Diceros bicornis minor: one gene and its partner. The protein of the gene in region 1 purifies or fractionates together with the protein of each later gene. This does not show direct contact. Links are inferred from orthologs where the notes say so. Each region holds a gene or a part of one and is shown in the gene's direction. Other genes may lie near its edges.

The links. Proteins that work in one complex are often made in the same cells at the same time.
Region 2: the proteins of NUP107 (region 1) and NUP43 purify together in Homo sapiens (affinity purification with mass spectrometry; 8 studies listed by BioGRID and IntAct, counting the BioPlex papers as one, with this or other methods). This does not show direct contact. The link is inferred for Diceros bicornis minor from reciprocal best matches to the Homo sapiens genes NUP107 and NUP43.

Annotation. Positions count from the first base shown.
Region 1 is NC_080756.1:2,508,716-2,519,428, reverse strand, and holds the start of NUP107 (nuclear pore complex protein Nup107), read left to right. Parts: upstream 1-6,637; 5' UTR 6,638-6,779; coding exon 6,780-6,787; intron 6,788-7,437; exon of another isoform or gene 7,438-7,615; intron 7,616-8,095; exon of another isoform or gene 8,096-8,243; intron 8,244-8,444; coding exon 8,445-8,536; intron 8,537-9,309; coding exon 9,310-9,396; intron 9,397-10,028; coding exon of another isoform or gene 10,029-10,058; coding exon 10,059-10,174; intron 10,175-10,713. UniProt on the Homo sapiens protein: Plays a role in the nuclear pore complex (NPC) assembly and/or maintenance. Required for the assembly of peripheral proteins into the NPC. May anchor NUP62 to the NPC. Involved in nephrogenesis.
Region 2 is NC_080778.1:28,160,101-28,170,062, reverse strand, and holds the start of NUP43 (nucleoporin Nup43), read left to right. Parts: upstream 1-4,943; 5' UTR 4,944-4,970; coding exon 4,971-5,090; intron 5,091-5,519; coding exon 5,520-5,642; intron 5,643-6,472; coding exon 6,473-6,550; intron 6,551-7,758; coding exon 7,759-7,939; intron 7,940-9,477; coding exon 9,478-9,613; intron 9,614-9,962. Other genes in the region: PCMT1 (protein-L-isoaspartate(D-aspartate) O-methyltransferase), read right to left, coding at 2,743-2,971. UniProt on the Homo sapiens protein: Component of the Nup107-160 subcomplex of the nuclear pore complex (NPC). The Nup107-160 subcomplex is required for the assembly of a functional NPC.

The DNA of each region.
Region 1 (10,713 bases):
CCAATCTGAAAAGACATAATGTACTCAATCAATATCTTCCCTCTATGATACCACAACCACATCCTTTCCTAGAATCATACGAGTGTCTCACTGAGTCCTTCCATTAGCTTTTCTCCTGTAGGTGAAGATCAAATAACACATACGAATCTTCCAGGGCACTGGCAGTTTTCGCTTCACACTTAAATATTTTGTTTCCTCCCCAACTCATGAACTTCCTCTTCTTGAAGTGTAACATTGTTTTCTACCTTTTTTACTGCCTGATCTATCCGGACCAAACTCTCATCTTGGATTCCCCCTAGAATACATGCAAAGGTCTGTTTCACTTCACATCACTGATGTTTAACTACTTTGCAATATCACTGCTGTTTATGCATAAAATGTTTGTCAAAATTTCATTCTGATTACCAAGCTCTAATACATCTTGAGCGGGAAGCTGGATTAAATAAAAAATCATTTTGGGTTGATTTTGATGCATATATACATATTACATATATGTCTAAAACTAAAACATTGCCTTGCACAACAATGTGAATGTACTTTATGCCACTGAACTGCACACTTAAAAATGGCTAAAATGGTAAATTTTATGTTATGTATATGTTACCACAATTTTAAAAAGTAAAAAAAGAAAAGAGCTGGTCGACATCAAGGGGGAAAAAAGAATAAAACATTGCCAACCAAGCACTAATATCAATTGGCAAGACGTAACAGTTTTACCTCAAAACGGGTTTTAAGTAAGGATATTTTAAGAAAATAATGGCCAAATTTTATTTGATTTAAAATATTTATGTATTCCATGCTATGATCAAATCAGTATGTTTGAATAGGTAAGTTCACACGATTTTTTTTTATAAGTAATGTTCTTTTTCCCCCAGTCTATCTCTCCCAGGTCCAATCACAGTGCCCGGTACATTGCAGACACTTAACAAATGTTTGTGAATGGATGAGTAAAGGATTCTTCAGGATTATAACCACTGAACTGCTTTATATGAAGAACAAAAGGAGACTTTGCAATCATATTTATATTTATCAATATGAAGTATTATTTTGAGTTCATATAGACAAGGAAAAAATCCTTCTGCTATTATTTCAGCATCATAGAAAAAAAGGATTGGAATTAGTTCAGTTCAATCTGTTACTAATGCCTCTATCGCTAGGTCTCAAGTTTGATGTTGCAAAATGAACTGATAATTATTATGAAAGTAATAAGATTGTTTGAAAAGGTATAATATGCCATTCATAATGCCCGGTACTCTTCTAAGCTTTGCACATATTAAATCCTCACAACAACCTTATGGTGTAGTACTATTATTACACCCAAAAAGAAGAAACTGAGGCACAGACTTGCACCCAAGTTCACACAGCTAATAAGTCGTGGAGCTGGGATGCGTCCCCAGGCAATCAAGTCTGGGCTTTTGACCACTTTGCTCTGTTGCTATTGTTACATTTAGTCCTCACAGCTACCCCAAGAGATTATTCTTACTTACACAGATGAGGTTTAGAGCAGTTAAACAGATGATAAACTGCAGAACTGAGATTCAAACCAGGAAATTTCTAAGACAGTGCTCCTACCCTCCAGGCAACATTGTCTCCTGAGCCAAGCCGTGTTTTAAAACCTACACATGGTGGTCGGTTCACGGTTCAGCCAAACACTGGTATTTGTATTCAATTCACGATTCACTATTTACTATACTTTTAGCTTGTGGTTCAATTACTTTAAGTCCATGATCTAAAGTAAATTATTTCATCTTTCTGCAATTCTGCTTCTTTAGATAAAAAGAACATTATGAAATTATAATAGCATGTTTGCAATGTTTTGAGCTCAAAGAAGAAAACTCGTTGTTGTTAGTGCTGTCGAGTGGATTCCGACTCCCAGTGACCCTGTGTAACCCTGCCCGGTCTCTCTGCACTATCCTCTCACCTTGTGGCACTCTATCAGACAATCCTCCTCTGCTATTCATAGGGTTTTCATGGCCAGTTTTTTCAGAAGTAGGTGGCCAGGTCCTTCTTCCGAGTCTTAGTCTGGAAGCTCCACTGAAACCTGCCCGCCATGGCTGACCCTGCTGGTATTTGAAATCCCAGTGGTAGAGCTTTCAGCATCAGAGCAACATGCAGCTGCCACAGTATGACAACCGACAGAAGAATAAAACTACTCCCCAAATATTAAAATAAAACTTAAAAAACCCAAGACCATCTCATATCTGAACAAACTGCTAATAATCTAAGTACTTCCTTTTGTTTTATATAAGCTGCAGTGTATCCTACAACTGTATTCAAAATTCTTCTATCTTTTGGACATGGAAAAAAGAATTAAGCACCTACCATAACTTAATTCACTAGATTCATATCTGACTCACTGGAATTCTTAATGAATTTATTAAAATATTCCTTTGAATTTCAATTGGACCATGCTATGAAAATAAGTTGCTTTAAATAAAACAATAAAATCATCTAGTTTCACCAAAGACAACCACAATCAACATTTGGTATGATCTTCATTCAGATTTTTTTTAAAAAGACTTCATTTTTTTAGAGCAGTTTTAGGTTCACAGCAAAATTGAGAGAAAGGTACAGAGATTTCCCATATACCCACCCCCCGTCCCCACACATCATAGCCTCCCCCCTTATCCACATCCCCCACCAGGGTGGAACATTTGTTATAATCAGTGAACCCACATTAACACATCACAATCACCCAAAGTCCATAGTTTACATAGGGTTCACTCTTGGTGTTGTACATTCTATGGGTTTGGACAAATATATATGACATGTATCCACCATTATAGTATCATACTGAGTGTTTTTACTGCCCTGGAAAACCTCTGTGATCTGCCTATTCATCCCTTTATCACCATGACCCCACCCCGGGCTTCAGTATTTCTTTATGCATTTTTACATTGTTTCTGAGCATAACGTTACATACTATATGACAACCTGTTTCCCTCATTTAAAGCAAAACAAACATTTCCAAATTATTACAAACTCTCTCTAAACAGCCTTTTAATGACTGCATAGCAGTCTATGATGTGGGCATTGGTTTATTCCCTCTCTGCCTCTGTTTGGTAGGAGTGAGGAACATCCGCCAAATGGCCACAGAATGTTTGGGGAACTGTAGTTGAATACAGCTGGAGTATCGAATTTGAGCTAGAGACAATGGCAAGACGATGCCAGACAGGCAAATGAGATGCTGAAGGCTGAGTCAAGTAGTTTGGAGTTAAAATTAAAATCAGGAGGAAACTGAAAGGTGAGTGACATGATCAGATTTGCATTTTTGGAAGACACTCTCTTAGCAATATGGAGAAAAAAGTGCAGTTGGAGGAGCTACAGTGAAGAGATGATGAGTCAGGCACAAGAAAGTAGCAGTGGAAATGGGAAGACAGATTGAAGATTTGGTAACAAAGCAGACGTGGGGAATGAGAGGAGAATCACTGATGGACCGATATTTATGAGATCAGCCCTGTGCTAACATCTGCCAATCCTGATTTTTTGTTTTGTTTTGTTTTGTTTGAGGAAGACTGGCCCTAGGCTAACATCCATGCCCATCTTCCTCCACTTTATATGGGACGCCGCCACAGCATGGCTTGCCAAGCAGTGAGTTGGTGCACGCCCGGGATCCGAACTAGTGAACCACAGGCCGCCGCAGCGGAGTGCGCACTTAACCGCTCACGCCACCTGGTCGGCCCGATAGACCGATATTTAAAGGGATACAACCCCAAGCAAAACAGATAAAGACGTCTACCCTTGTGAAACTTCAGTCCTATTGAGAGTAGATTCCAGATTTTTGGCTTGGGTAACTGGATGTCGCCACTTGCTAAGACGGCAAATACAGGAGGAGAGGTATGGTTGTAGTTGTGAGGTTGTTTCGGTGGGAAGTGAGGGAGGGGTAGGCCTGCTGGGTCCAAATTTAGAGTTAGCACACGTGACATTTCACATACTCTGTATCCTCAAGAGTGGGCACGTCCAGGAAGCAAGTGGGTGCAGTGAGTCTGGAATACAAAAGCAAGGCAGGGGTACAACTCCAAGCTGGGATCTAGTAGGAAGTAGATGGGCAGAGTTCTGGGGAAGATCAGTTGACGTTTAAGGGAAGGGCAGAGTTCAAGAGCCTACGGAGGAGACTAGTGGAGAGAAGCCAGAAGGAAGCAGAAGCCGAGTAAAGGCATGCCAGGGAGGGGCAGGAGGGTGGCAGCGAGGAGAGCGGTCTAGGGTGTCAAGTGTTCCACAGAGGATGGGGAATGAAAAACAAACTTCCACTGACAGAGGATCACTGGCGACCTTTTCCAGCAGTTTTCACTCAGCAGCGAGGGCGGAGGTCAGACTGCACTAGGTTGCACGGTAAATGTAAACGGAGACAAAAAGGAAGGTTACGCCTTCAACGTCTGCCTAAATTGAGCCCGATGTAGATGAATGATATTTGATATGATAAGACGCTCACACTGTTAAGTGAAAAAGCAGACTATAACACTCTTACAGTACGACCCCACTTGCTCCCCTACGGATTGCGGCGCAGCAGGCCACCCCGACAGAGTGGCGTCAGACACCATCAACTTGCTGGGCTCTGCGGGTCCACTGGACCCCACCAGGTGGTTCCGATGAGTCTCTCACGGGACTGTAGTCAGATATAGATAATGGAATCATGGGAATTTCTTTTTTAACAATGTATTTATTTTATTTATTTATTTATTTTATGAGGAAGATCAGCCCTGAGCTAACATCCATGCTAATCCTCTTCTTTTTGCTGAGGAAGACCGGCTCTGAGCTAACATCCATTGCCAATCCTCCTCCTTTTTTTCTCCCCAAAGCCCCAGTAGCTGTACGTCATAGTTGCACATCCCTCTAGTTGCTGTATGTGGGACGTGGCCTCAGCACCGCAGGAGAAGCGGTGCGTCGGTGCGCGTCTGGGATCCGAACCCGGGCCGCCAGCAGCGGAGCGCACGCACTTAACCGCTAAGCCGCAGGCCGGCCTGGGAATTCTTTAATTTCTCTATTTGCTTATGTCTGTTATCTTACCGTTCTGTAATCGCCACATCCATTGGATTTATGGTAAGAACACCAGCAAACAGCTCATCACAGTTTACCAAAACACAGGTTTGGCTGGGAAGAGCGCCGAGCAGAGACAGCTGGAAAGGACGCTTTCCTGTGAGGACGGAGGGTTAGGGGGCTTCTGGAACAGACACGCCGACCTCACGTGCCTCCAGGGCATCCAGTGAAACCCGGGCAGCTCCTGGGCAGCCTCCCGCGCCGCGTCCCTCCAAACGTTCATCAAGTGCCTGTCCTCAGAACACATCGGACAAATCCAAACTGAGGAACATTCTGGAAAAATTGGCCTGAACTCTTGGAAATATTAATGATTTAAAAGAAAAGTCTAGGGGACTGTTCCAAACGAGAGCAGAATACGGAGACGCGACAACCGACGCACCCCGCCCCGCCAGGTCCCGCGCTGGAGGGGGGCTCCGTACGGGCCGTTATCAGACAACGGGGCAGGTCTGAACACGTCGGTGACGGGACTCCGTCAGCGGGAGACGTTCCCGGCGCGTGTTTTACCGTACTGGGGGCACGACGTTTTGTCCTTGACTCGGGAAGTCTGAAGGCTTTGGGGTGAAGCGTCAAGACGGCTACAACTAACTTGCAAACGGCTCAGGCAAAAAAGGGGAGAACAGTCGTGGGGCGATGTTAGCAGTGGGGGGGGGGCCAGGGAGGAGCGCATCGACGCCTGTCGTGCTGTCGCTACAGCTTTCTGTAGTCTCCAAGTTTTCAAAACGAACAGTCGGGGAAGACAAGGTCACGTCTGCTCCCCTCTGCTGTGGGGGCGGGGGGGGCGCAGGAGAAGGGGGGCGAGCGAGGGGGCGCTCTCTCCACACGGCCCGGCTCGGGGCGCTACAGGGGCGCTGTGGGGGTGGGGGGGGGTGGGGGGGCGCTCGGGCGCCGCTTCCTGGCCTCTCCTCCAGCTTCTGAACCATTCCGTGGGCGCCGGACAGGCTTCTAGAACATTCTCTCCTCCTCCAGGTAGCCGCAGTGCATGTCAGGAAACGCAGGGCCCTACAACGAGGCTGGGATGTACACGACGCGCACCACACAGGAGTTCGTCCCATAGAGCTTTAAGGCGCTGACATGACTACATTTTGAAACATTCGCTGCGCGTGTGCTGACTGTGTAGACGTGACCCGGGCCCCTCTCCAACAAGCGCTGCACATGAACTAACGCTGGCCAACGCTTTGCCCCAAAGCTCGTCCTTGCTAAAGAGGAGCCCTTTCTCCTTAAGAGGAAGACACCCAGTGAAGACAAGGAGCCATCACGGTAACAGCTCCACAGACACGACGCACACAAGCGAGAGCCCCTGTCCCCGGCCCCGGCCCCTCTCACAGAGAACACCCGGAAGTGACTGCACGTCTTCCTGGACCGTCAGCCGACGCCGTTTCCCATAGGACACCCCGGCGCCGGGGCCACGCCCACACATGTCAGTCAGGCAGTGGCGGCGGCGCGTCACTGGCCCGGCCCTGCCCCGGCCCGGCCCGGCCCGGCCCCCCGCATCGTCTTCACACGCTAGCACACTTTCGCGCCTGCGCAGGTCGGATCTGCGGCTGCAGGCGGAAGAAGGTGCGCATGCGCTCGATGAGAAAGTTGGTCGCCGTCCCCCCTCCCCCCACGTCTTTTCTCTACGGCGGCTTAGCGAGGACATACTTCCGGGTCGAAGGATTTGCTTCCGGAGAGCGGGAAGGCTGAAACGCGGTGGCTAAGCTGGAGCCGAGACTGCAAGGCTCTCGGTGGGGCAGGCTGTAGCCATGGACAGGTCAGTTGCGGTGGTGACGGCTGAGCTGGGAGACTTGTCCCTCCTGCTTGTCAGCAGAGCGAAATAGGTGACCCCCGACGCGCAGAGGAAGCCGGGAGGGCCGGGTGCTGCCCAGGCCTCCTTCCCCGGCGGGGAGACTGCAGCCGGGGTCGGGGGGACACGGCTGGCCACAGTCCCCGCGTCCCCGCGGCGGCTCCGCCGTCTCTTGTGCTCTTTCTCCCGTTTCCCGCTCCTGGGGGGCGGGGTGGGAGGAGATGCTGCGTGCCCTGCGAGGTCCCGGCCAGTCGGCGAGAACGGGGACCGCAGCCCAGGCTTGCTGACCGCAGCTCCAGCAGCGGACAGCCACTGACTTGAGTTCTCTGTGACCCTGGCGCTGCTAGCCGCCTGCGACGCAGATGAGTTATGCGAGTTCTTGTGTGGTGCGGGAGACTACCGCGCAGCACGAAGTGAGAAGTGTTTCCTGCTGCGCTGTGGGGGGAGACGAGGGGGCGGTTTCAGGAAGACCTCCCAAAGGAGCCGACTTTCTAGTTGGTCTTTGAATGATAATAGCAGCCGACATCGAGTGTCTTAAACCCTTTTCGTGTAGTATTAGCTAATTGAATCTTCATACCAGTCCTATGAGGATGGGTGCTACGATCCTCTTCTCATAGGTAACACTGGGGCTGAAAGAGGATAAGGAACTGGGTCAAGGTTAGGAAGCTAGTAAATAGAAGAACCAAGTTGCCAGCCTGGCTGTGTGTCTGCAGACTGCAGGAGGCTGTTTGATGAGTAAGCAAGTGTTCACCAGGTGGGCCAAGGGGGCAAACATAGGCCCCGGTAAAAGAAAAGGTAAGAATATGAAACTGCATGCTTTGTGTAGCTGAATAGTCACATGCTGTATATGTTTGTATGGGGGTGATGTTTGTGACTGAACTGATAAGTTTGAGGTCAGGTGTAAAAACCGTGGACTTGAGTCTGTAGGCCAGAGGTAGCTATCTGAAGGATTGAAGTGGAGGAAAAGCATATTGGATTGTTGACTTAAAATACAAGTCTCCTAATTCACACAGTTTATTTTGTAGATCTTGGTCTGAGAGTGACAGGGGAGGGCTGAAGCATTGTGACCACAATAGTGCTGAGACAGGAGAACCCTCAGTGTACTCTGGGGAGAAATAACTGGAAGGATCATTTCTCTCCAGTTTACTAGAATTGGTTTTTTACTATCTTCCCATCTCACCAGCTCAAACAACAGATTTTTTCATAGTACCTATGGTTTGAAGTATCTTGGAGACTATAGGAGATCCTTTTAAGAGATTGTTCCTGAAATTTTAGGGAACTCCTCAATCCATCAGAGGAAAGATTGACCTTCGTGAGGCGGTTATCTAAAACAGTGTTATAATATAGATTCCAAGTGTTGAAATAATTCCAAAGGAGAAAATACCACAGTGAATGCCAGAAAGTCAGAGAAGCCTTTGTGCAGGTAAAATTGGAGAGAGACTTGGAGGGAGAAGCAGGATTTGGAGCCAGAAGGGTATTGTCAACAAAATGATCAAAGACTTGGCTCCTGGGATGATTTGTACCTTGACTGACTCAGGGTTCTTTGCTCCAATCATGATGATAAAGTTCTTTGCAAATGCTGCATTCTGATTTCATTTACATGAGCTTGATTATGCCATTTTAGGAGTGGCTTTGGAGAAATGTCATCCCCTGTGATCCGGGAGGCGGAGGTGACACGGACTGCACGGAAACAGAGTGCTCAAAAAAGAGTTCTAAGTATCCTTTGTGCTTTAAGCATCATTATTAAAAAAACTGCAACATGTTTGGAATCAGGATTATAGATTTTTTGTGTGTGAGAGGTATTAAACACTAGCTATAATAATAAAATGCTGTGGAAATTAGTTTTTTCAACTCTCCAGATATGTTATTTGGCAAATATAATGCTGAAATTCAATGAAATTAAGATTTATGTTTTCCTGAAAATAAAGATGTTCCATTTTACTGCTATCATATTGTGGTTAGCTTCTGCTGAGATTAGACATCTTTTTTTTATTTGAAATCTGACTGAGAACTCTTAGTTCAGTGTGTAGTAATCTTAAGACTGATATCTGGGGCCGGCCTGGTGGCGCAAGCGGTTTAAGTGCACGCACTCTGCTTCAGCGGCCTGGGGTTCGCAGGTTCGGATCCCAGGCGAACACCGACGCACCACTTGTCAGGCCATGCTGTGGTGGCATCCCATATAAAGTGGAGGAAGCTGGGCACAGATGTTAGCTCAGGGCCAGCCTTCCTCAGCAAAAAAATAAAAGAGGAGGATTGGCATCGGATGTTAGCTCAGAGCTGATCTTCCTCACACACACACAAAAAAGACTGATATCTGAGAATTTAAATCGTAGAGGGAATTATTTACTCTTGGCATAGAGAAAATGGTAGCCATAAAATACCTTGGTTTTGAAAAATGTATTCACATATTTTTTATAGTGTAAATATGGTTAGTTCTAACTTGAATGGTGTCTTTTCTGCATGGAAAACTTTCTTAACTCTTCCCACAGTTCGGGCATCCCAAGATGAAATTTTTGCCAATACTACACCAAGAAACCAGGGTATCCCTCAAACTCCCAGCTCATTTCGACCACCCTGTAAGGTTTTTTGCTTTTAAAGCATTTAATAAGAATAATAATAGCAGCTAACTCTTATAATACACATAATAAATATAACATTTGGTTGCAGTATCAATAATTAAGAACAATAACAATGATTGTAGTGACTATTTGTTGCACTCTTAACCATGTTTCAGGCACTGTACTTACGCAAATGCACGGTAACTATGACATAGGTATTATCTCTATTTTGCCAAAACTGAAAGTAAGACTTAGAGAAGTTAATGCAGATAACATAGCTAAGTAAGTATGTAATTAATGGAACCAGTATTCCCACAGTGATCTGCTTACTCCAAAGCCCATGACCTCCGAGATATACTGCCTCCTCAGTATGCTTTGTAAAATAGAATCCATTGACTCACTTATGTCCTTGTTTTAGTGCTCAGTTATGTTATAATGGAAACATCTCTATTTGCAGTAAAATTTTCCTAATGAGCTCAGTAATACCAAAAGCTCAAATTTAGGAAAATAAGTTAAATCTTCATATCATGGAAATATTAACATTAAAGTATTTATTTGGTTAGACTGTAAATAATTGAAAACGGAAAATTATTTATTCTTTATTGTTTGTTTGCTTGTTTTGTTTTCATGATCAGTGCTCATGCACTTTGGGGTTCTTTTTACTAACCTCTTGTTTGTAGTTACTCCACCGAATCGAAGCTTGCTAAGGCAGCCGGATGTCTCCTGCATTCTTGGAACAGGAGGGAGGTCTCCCCGGCTTACACAGTCTTCAGGGTTCTTGGGAAATTTGTCTATGGTATGTAGAAAAATGGGGCTGAATTTTTCTCCCTTTTTATAAAAATATGTAGCTTAAAAGCCTTTAATGAGAATTGAAGTCATATTCATCATAAAAGTAACTAGGTTATATGGCTTGAAATAATTTTTTGGTCAGACTTTCAGAAAACTGAAACCCTTAAGCATCTCATGTCACAGGTTGAAGCTGTGACACCAGCAACATTTAGATGCAGATAAGGTGTTAATCTGACAGTTTGCTGATCAGAAGAAATAAATTCTGAGTGGTTGCTGATGACTATAAAAGCTGAGCCCTGTTTTGAAGCATAGAAGAGTAGGAAGCCACGAGTATTTGGTGAAGAGTATTATAAGGAAGAGAGACAATGCAGTAAAGGAAAGAAAAGAGAAAATTTTGGAAAAAGTGGATGAGACATTCTTTAGGAATCACTATGGTACTGTATTTAAAAGAAGAAAAGTCATGTAAACTGTGGTGCAGAATGACTTGACCCAGGTGTTTAAAATACCCAGTAGGAAATGAAAGAATTGTATCTAACTAAGAAGAAA
Region 2 (9,962 bases), on another chromosome or scaffold:
TCTAATATAAACATTATGTAAACTGTCACATTCCCTGGATTAAGTAGGCTCACAGTTGTTTTAAATTTAATTCGTTTCATGAGCACATTATCAGCCCATAATTATAAAACTATATTTTGCATTTCTATAGAGCTGCACTGTCCAATATGGTAACCACTAGCCACATGTGGCTATTTAATTAAGTTAATCTACATAACACAAACATCCAGTTCCTCAGTGGTATTAACCACATTTCAAAGGCTCATATTGAACAGCACAGACATTACAGAGAGTTCTATTGGGCAGGACTGCTATAGGCCTTTTTCCTAAAACTTTATTTTAAAGCATAAAACTGATTCAGCTGAAACACTGGCAGAATTCAACCTTGTAATTTTCAATTCTCTACATCAGTGATTCTCAAAGTGTGGTCCCTGGACTAGCAGCAGCAGCATTACTTAGGAACTTGTTAGAAATACAAATTCTTGAGCCCCAGCAATCTGTATTTTAACAACCTCTCCAGGTGACCCAAGAGATTCTGAAGCATGCTCAAGTTTTAGATCATTGTTCTAAGTTATTTCAGAGCAGTTGTCATCATAAGCTACGAGGTATTACAAGATGTACCATTACAGTCTAAAATATTCTATACATGATATATCAACTATGAAATCATACACAAGCATAGTTCTACTATGATGTCTTATAAAAGAAAAACTCAGTAGAAACTTTCAATAAAATTATTAAAATAACATTAAAACTAAACCAAACCTGAACTTCATGTCTTTAAAAAAAAAATTAAAACTGTAATTTGCTTCCTCTTCCAATTTGTAGATCCCTTTTCACTTCAACATCAACATTTCACATTTTAATTTTTCCCTAAAAATTCAATTAGAAGCTTTAAGTTAGGAAGAATACACAACAGTGGAATAACCTGGAAAGAGGGAGAAATTTTCAAATTTTATGCCAACTGAAATTTTCACATGAGCAAATGTTACTTTTATAATAAACTAATAAATAAAAATAAAGTCTATTAGCTAGAATTAATTCAGCAAGAAGTTGAAATTAAAGTTGCACAAGTGTTACAAAACAGGCTAAACAATTTGAGTACTCTAATTTCCTCTTACCAATCACAGACCTAGTATAAAACTAAATATTTGCAATACCAGCATGTATATTAAATATTTATTAAATTTTCAGATAGAAAAATATCCTTAGAAATTTCAGCTAAGAATGGTAATGCAATATATTAAAGTGATTATAAAACCACTGGGAAAAGATCTAGTCTTGGCTTACTACAAATTTGGCCCAAAAAAAAAGATTTTAAGAGCCTGATTGATTACAAATTCCTGCCACAGCCAAGTGGCTACTGCGATAACCTACTGGTGGAAAATTACTTAGTCACAATTCTTGTATAGAAGGTTTCCAGTAAGCACACCACAATATAAGGCAGCAGATCATTTTAAGAAATTTTATTAAAATATTTACAACATAATGAGCTTACATGCAATCCATAGGAATCTACATCACACTTCATAATACTGCCTCAGCATATAAATGTCCACTCCCAATCAAATATCCTTTCATAAAGTGAACACTGGCAATGCTCGACAGGATTCTGAAATCTAAATATTCTTCATTACTAAACAGTAAGGACACAATTTCCAAATTTTAAATATTGTAAAAAAAAAAAAGTCAAATGACTAATGTTAAGTATTAACCGTGTGCCAGACAGTACTATTTGTCGCTCATCTTACTATTCCTAGCACAGATCCAAGCATATAGTGTACATTTAATTGGCACAAATGAAAAAAGAAATGAGTATTAAGTTCTTTGATAGGATTCAAAGATATTTACAAAAAAAAAGTCCCTGCCCTCAAGGAGGTCACAAATCGAATTAGGAAACATAAACACATGAAAAGCTAAATAACATATGACACATAGCAGGATATGATTATTCGCAAGTTGTGGCAAAGAGAGTGCTATCAGCTCTGACCGGAGTGAGAGTGGTACGGATTGCGGTTCTTCTGGTCTCCCGACCAGTGGGCGACACTGTATTGCAACGTAAAAAAATAAAGTGACACAGCATTCACCCCACCCCGAAATGATCAGCAGAGGAAGGAATACAATAACCAACGAGAACGGTACAGGAAGACCTGCCGGCAAGGCTTGTAAAGCCCACGGGGCCTGGAAGAAGGCAGAGCATCCACATGCACGACTGCTGATTGGATCTCAGGATGAAACAAGCCTCCTAGGAACAGCATCTCCTGACCACTGCCCCCTCCGACCCCCACGAAGCCTGCCAGTGGACAGCGCCCCAGAACTTTCTCCAGCATCCGCAGTGACAATCCTCTCCCCTCCCTCCCCGCGCCGGTACCTCACCCGGAAGAAAGAACGGGGGGCGGGGGAGGAGGACAGGAGAGAGGGCGCTCCCGCAGCAGAAGGAAGGCGAGGAGGAGCGGGGGCCGGCCCGCATCCCCCACCCCGGGGCACGCCCCCGCCCGCCGGACCCGACGAGAGGCGGTGGACTCGAGTGACAGCCCGCCACCTGTGCCGGCCCCCCTTCCCGCGGCGCCACGCCGCCCCCCGCCCCTCTGGCAGCGGCCCCGGCCCCTGTCTGTCCCCTCCCGAGGAGAGAGAGTGACAGGTCCCGGGGGAGGCGGCCGCACGCGCACGCCGCCCGGGACGGTTGGTGCAACGCTCCGCCGCGGCCCTCCAGTAGGCAGCGCGGCGCAGACAGAACGTTCCGGACGGCGGGGTGGCACTTACTGCGGAGGTTGTGGATCAGCTCCGAGTGGCTGGCGCCGCCGGACTTCCAGGCCATCGCTAAGCACACCCGGAGCAGGAACAGAACGACCTTCAGCGCGGCGACGGTGCCCAGCAGCTTCCCCAAGAGTGAAAACACCTCCCACACAGTCACCGCCCTGCTCGCGTCCCCGATGTCGCCGCCGCTGTGACTGCCGTCGCCCCCGCCGCCGCCACTGCGCGCTCCCGGCATCCCCCGCGGCACGCATGCGCTCTGTGACGCCCCACCGGGGCGCGGCCGGGTGGGGGGGGGCGCGGCCACGTGCCCCGCCGCCCGCGCTGGTGGCCGCTGCGGCAGCCCGGCCGGGCTGAGTCAGCCCCCCGCCGCCGCGCGCCGTCTCCTTGCCGGGTGGCCTGCGGCCAGGCGGGTGGGCACCGGCGCGGCCGGGCGCGTGCCCGGCTGCGGCTCTGGTCACCTGGGGCGGTGGCGGGGCAGCTGGGCCGATCTGGTTCTGCCGCTGCGGAGGCTCCGCAGTCGCGCGGGGTCAGCTGCTGCGAGCGGCGGGTCTGCTCCTATAGCCGTCCAGATTGTTAGACGGTGGGTTTCCTCCGTCCTACCTCACCCAACCCAGTTGACTAATGCATAGGTCGGTTACCGTCTGAGCCTGATTAATCTTGGTAGAACCTTTTCTAACCCGGGTACTCTAGCCTCTGGCTTTGTGACAAGTCCATCAGTGTGTGGTCAGCAGAGACCTTGGGACCTTGGTTTGTTCTCAACTCTCAAGCACAAATTCAGAGTGGAAGAATACCATGACATATGGAGTAGGGTGGAGCGTGGGGGATGCTCTGCTCCTTAGCACAATGCAATTGGTTAAAAATACCACAGTATCCTATGGCGAATGTGTTATTCTCCCGACACGAGTGTGCCTTTTCAGCTAATTAAGCCTTCCGCTGTTAGACTGGACACCAGCTTTATTGCTATCAGCTGTGCAAGACAATGATCGAGAAGCTGACAGGGAACATTGCCTGTCGCATTGGTTGGATTAGGGCACTCCACTCCCTCTGGGTCCCTAGCAGTCTTCTCCAGGCTGAGAGCCTCGGGGGTCTGCTGCCTCCCAGGGTTCCTGGGCTGGCCCTACAGGGCGCACAGTCATCAAGAACTGCTTGGGGGAAGTGAGCTGTTTAGATATTGCTCTGGTGAGTAGAAAGTGGGCACTTGCCCCATTAATGCTTCCTGGCTGGTGGCTTCCATAGCACCCCCATCTCTGCAAATACACTTTACTTTGTAAAAGAACTTCCACTGGTGTAGAGTCTTATTTGACTCACCAGGAGGCGAGCCCACTTGGTTCAGTAACAATACGTCTTGAATGCAATAGGATTTACATTCTAATTGGGGAGATCTGCACCCAAAGAAAACTAGCAATAGAGGGCAAAATATAAGTGCTATTAGTGGTCTAGATATCAAGTGCTATGTTAATTTAGATCGCATGGGCTGGAGTAATAAGGAAAAGATACAGGGCAGAACTGGTCCTTGAAGGATGAGCAAGATTCTGAGAAGGAGAGAGGAATAAAAGGACATTATAGGTGTAATCAAAAGCAGAGAAGAGGGAACCTACAGCACCGGTTCCTGGGCTGTCGACGTTACATATCAAACTCATTCTTAATTATATTCATAAATGAATTGAGGAAGGTTACACAGCTAAGCAATGGGTGTCAAAACTCGAACTGGAGTCTTCAGAATTCCAACTCCAGGCTCTGACAGTGTATTAACAAGGATTTGTTTGGGGGATAAAGAGGGAGAGGTTTAGAACAATAAACTGGTCCGTTAATGGACGTACTTCCTTGACAATGTAAGGACTTTGAATCTCTTTTATGCGCAGTGAAATGCAAGACTGAATGCTTGGGTGTGGCTCTGAGGCGGCTTCTCTTGCATTGATTTCGTTTTGTTTTGGCTCTTCGGTTTGTTTTACAGTGCACGATTATCGCACAAATGCACTGTCTCAGTGTCACTACACTGAGCGTGCACATTAAGAGCAGGTCCTGTAGCACGAGGCCCGTACACTCTTGCTTCTGTTCGGGGTCGCCTCGGTGAGCAGGGGCTGGTGGCGCCCGCAGCGCCGACGGAGGAGGATTGGCTCTCCGCGGCCACCGTCCGCTCGTCGAGTGCGGGCCAATCAGGGCCGCGCGGGAAGGGGCGGGACCGAGAGGCGCGCGGCGCGCTCCTCGCTGTACCTGAGGCGGTCGCTGTCGCCATGGAGGAGATTTATGCCAAGTTTGTGTCTCAGAAAATCAGCAAAACCCGCTGGCGGCCGGTGCCTCCGGGGAGCCTGCAGACCGCAGAGACCTTCGCTACGGGCTCTTGGGACAACGAGGTACCGCCGCCTCATCCCGGTCTCCCGGACCGCGCCTGGCCCCAGCCTCCCTCGCCCTTCTCTGCCCCCGGCCTCCGTCTCGGTTGCCCTGCCTCTCGAGCCATCGACGGTGCGCCTGGGCCTCGCATCTCGTTGTGATTTAAACTGTCACCATGCCTTTTGTCTGAGATGCTTTTTTTTTATTTTTTTAAATTGATGTCATAATAGTTGATACCACTGTGCGATTCCACTTGTACATTATTATTGGTCAGTCACCACATATATGCGCCCCTTCACCCCTTGTGCCCACCTCCCAACCCCCTTCCCCCTGGTAACCACCAGACTGTTCTGAGATGCTTTTAAAGCAAGGTTATTTGAAGGCATTGCGAATTTTAATTTCCGAGAGGTTAAAGTAGATTTCATCTCAGGATAAATCTGTCTATTTTACAGGAAAATCGTGTTTCCCTGTGGTCTATTGGCGATTTTGGGAACTCGGACTCTGATGGAGGGTTTGAAGGAGACCATCAGTTACTGTGTGACATCAAACACCATGGTGACGTGATGGACTTACAGGTAAGTCTGTGGAACGTACGAAAGCTAACTTAAAGAGCGGAGAGTAATACATTGAGAGACGCAAAGGACCGTAAAGTTTGTCTAGACTCGCCCCGGTTTACAGGAGACTGAGTTCTCTATAGGTTATGATTTGCCAAAATCATGACTGGGGAAGGAGATGTAGATTTAAGCATAGTTTTTTAATCCTTTTTTTAATTAACTGACCTTCTGCTATGTGCCAAGCACTGTTCTGGGAGCTTTACATAAGTTAGTTTAATTCTCATCACATGCTTGTGAATCAGGTATTATGTCTTTTACCAGTGAGAAAACAGACTAAGACCTTTTGGGCATGTACTATGTGACAAATACTGTGCAAGGCACTTGACAGGTTTTGCTTTTTGAGTTCTCATAACAACCCCCTAAGTAAGGATTAGTTCTTTCCTCTTAAAGGTTTGCCAGGACTTAGAGAACTTAACTTGGCGACAGTCTCAAAGTCAGTAGTAAGTGGTGGCAATGGAATTAAGTTTTTAAATCCTGGTCTGCATGACTTCAAAGTCCTGGCAGTCCTGATTCTGTAGAAAGCTCCCTAACCCTGGAATGATACTTTTCTAAACCTTTACGGTAGTGGTCCAAAATTAAATCAATTATAGGTGAATGAGTTTAGGGAAAAAATTATTGTTATTTATTCTTCATGAAAATACTTTTATTTGTATAGCAGTTTTGACTTTCAGATCTATCATCAGATTTTATTTGCTTAGCATTTATAGCTCTTCACATCTTAAAATTGTTATACTACTGAGTTAAACTACTAATATTTCTGAATCTATAACGAGCAGGAATTTTCTGTTTAGTTTTTTGACCAGGAAAGGATTGTAGCTGCTTCATCAACAGGATGTGTAACAGTTTTCCTTCACCATCCAAATAACCAGGTAAAGAACTTTTTTTGAAAACTGAATTTGTATTTTAATTATTTATAGGAAGGCTTAAAGAAGACTGTACTTAATGACACAAATAAAAAGTTTTATAGCCTGAAAACATGGAGAGGAAAAATATCACCATTATATTACCTATCTTTTAGTAGATTAATTCTAGAACCATGTTTGTGTGAGCTTTTATTGAAATTCGACATCTCTTAAATAAATTCTGTTAGTTTAGAACTAACAATATGGTATTCTGGCAAGTGATTTTCCAGTAATTCTCTGTTTTAAGTTTCTATTCTAATCTTTTGAAGAAAAAAAGAGCACATTCTAGCTAAGGTATCATGAGAGAGAACAAGAACAGCTACTTTACTTCTGTGGATAGAACCCAGGTTTTAATTAGAAGAGAGGATACACTCTATGAAGACTTGGCACTTTTTCAATGCCTTTCGTGTATGCTGAAGCCCACAAGTGGTCACTTTCAAAGAGTAGCAGTGAGGGCAAATCTTTACAATAGCCCCACTTGTAGTAATAGTTTTCAGTTGCTAGAAGAGAGTGCTTATTTAGATTTTTGGATTAATAAAGGTCACCTTGTGGATAGGCATATGTAGTAAATATAAGACCCAGATCTTGTTAAATATTTTTCTGAATCGAGTCATTTAGAAAGCACTACAGGGAGTTATTTTTTACATGTAGGCTAATTCTCTTAAGAATTTAGAGTTACTTTTGAACACATGACTACCTGGTACCTAAAACCCATTTCTTTACTTTGCTATATTGGGCCAGCCCCGTGGCTTAGCGGTTAAGTGCACGTGCTCCACTGCTGGTGGCCCGGGTTCGGATCCCGGGCGTACACCGAAGCACCGCTTCTCCGGCCATGCTGAGGCCATGTCCCACATACAGCAACTAGAAGGATGTGCAGCTATGACATACAACTATCTACTGGAGCTTTGGGGGAAAAATAAATAAATAAAATTATAGTTTGCTATAAATGTGGGACATTATTGAGCAGCATTCATTTTGAATCTAATCCAGTGTATACAGAGCTTTGTAGAGTAGTTCTAGACTTTATTACTCGGAAATACAAACAAAAAAGGAGAGAGTTATTCTTTTTCTCGAAGGGTATGAGACAGAATTTAAAAATACTCTTGAGTTGGGGAAAAGTGCTAGGTGTTTAGAGCTTTGCTTTGGTTAATCATCTGCTCGTTTCTGATGCCCAGACTCTGTCAGTCAGCCAGCAGTGGACGGCCGCTCACTACCACACGAGCCCAGGCAGCCCCTCCTGTTGCAGTGCACCCTGCACGGGTATCGTGTGCAGCAACCCAGAAATTGTCACAGTTGGAGAAGATGGTCGGATAAATCTTTTCAGGGCTGATCACAAGGAGGCTGTGAGAACTATAGGTGAGAAAAACCATTATATTTCTTTCATCCATCACCTAGTAATTGAGCACCTACTATGTGCTGTGTAAACACAGTGCTGGGTGTTTTGAGGGATATAAAAATATACAAAGCAGGATCCCTCTATCAAGACAGTGTGGTGATAAGGCCTGCACGAATGAGTGACTACAGAGGAGAGAGAAACTTTTTTTCTGACTAGAGGGGATTACTGAATAAAGAATTGAGGGGCAGGTAGCAATTAATCTAGGTTTTGGACCATAAGTAATACTAAAAGATAGCAAGCTAGACAAAGAGAATAATGTGGAGGTGGGATAAGGCCATTAAGAGAACGAAAAACAGTGTAGTTTGTTTGACCTGACTTTAAATATTTATATAGAAGAGGTGAGCAATGATGCAGGAAAGGTAAATTGGGGCCTGGTCGTGAAGAGTCTGATGCATAGCTGTAGAGGTTACATTTTGTTAGGTGGGCAGCCAAGGAGCCAGTGCAAGTTTTTGAGCAGGTGGGGTGATAGACTCCCTGTCCTGCTTTAGAAGGATTATTCTCCTGTAGTAGTTCTCAACTCTGCTGCACACAGACTTGCCTGGGGAGATTTTTAACAGTCCACCACCCTAGACCTTCTGAATCAGAACCTCTGTGGTTTGAGCCCATGAATCAGTTTTTTGTGTTGTTTATTATGATTTTTAGTTCTGAGGAACACCACTTGTTTAATTGTTAAGGACCATTGCCTGGTGGTGGTTTGGAGGAGTGTCACAAAACAAAAGTCTATAAGTATATGCTAAATTATATGGTATAAGCTCTAAACACTCTAGGAAAAAAGAAAAGGACCATTATAACAAGCAGGAAGGACTTCCTGGAGGAGGAGAGAATTAATGAGGGTAAAGGTGGTAGACTTGAGATGAGTCAGCAGAATAATACAAAGGCAGAGTGAACTCTGGAGGAAGCACTGAGGTTTGGCCCAAGAGAATGGAGTCTCTGAGTTCAGGACTAGTGGGAAATAAAATTGGATATAGAGGAGCTTGAACAGCTGTCTCCAAAATGGAGGGTAACACTCTTAAGTGGAAATAGAGGAATATGTGAAAACTCAGCCCTCTGTTTGGAAAATAGTTCAGATGTCCTGTGAGTGATAGTATTTCTCTATCAAAGGAGAGTCCATTTTAATTTTTTTTTTAATTTTATTTATTTATTTTTTTTCCCCCAAAGCCCCAGTAGATAGTTGTATGTCATAGCTGCACATCCTTCTAGTTGCTGTATGTGAGACGCAGCCTCAGCATGGCCAGAGAAGCGGTGCGTCGGTGTGCGCCCGGGATCCGAACCCCGGGCCACCAGCAGCGGAGCGCGCACACTTAACCGCTAAGCCACGGGGCCAGCCCAGAGAGTCCATTTTAACATGTATATTTCTGTGCATTTTTCTATAGAAATTGAACTGTGACTTGTTTAAAATTTCATTTGTAATATTTCAATCAATAGAAGGAATGCGATTTAAGATTTTCATGGAAAAGGGGAACCCATTAACACACACTACTGTTTTCTTAATTTGTAGACAATGCAGATAGCAGTACACTCCATGCTGTAACCTTCCTTCGAACTCCTGAGATTCTTACAGTTAATTCAATTGGACAGTTAAAAATATGGGATTTCAGACAACAAGGAAATGAGCCCTCTCAGATATTATCACTGTAAGCTTTGATTTCTAATTTCAATAGTGTAATGCAAAATTAATTCGTTCAATTGTTTAGGGCAACGGACTTTAAACTATATTGTATTTTAATTGCATTTTAAGAGAGTGATCCCTGATTAAATTTGATAAAGCAGGTATGATTTGATGGGCTTGGTACTACCATGCTGTATTTAGTAAATATTTGTTGTACTGATTGAAGCTTTCTCTCTTTGAAGTTTATATTATTCAATGGGGAACTTGTTTTTGCTCATCAAATGGTTCTATTAATAGTGGGTATAATATACCCTAGATATGATTGGGAGAAAAATATAATCCAAGATATTTTTCTGAGCAGAAATCCCCTTTCT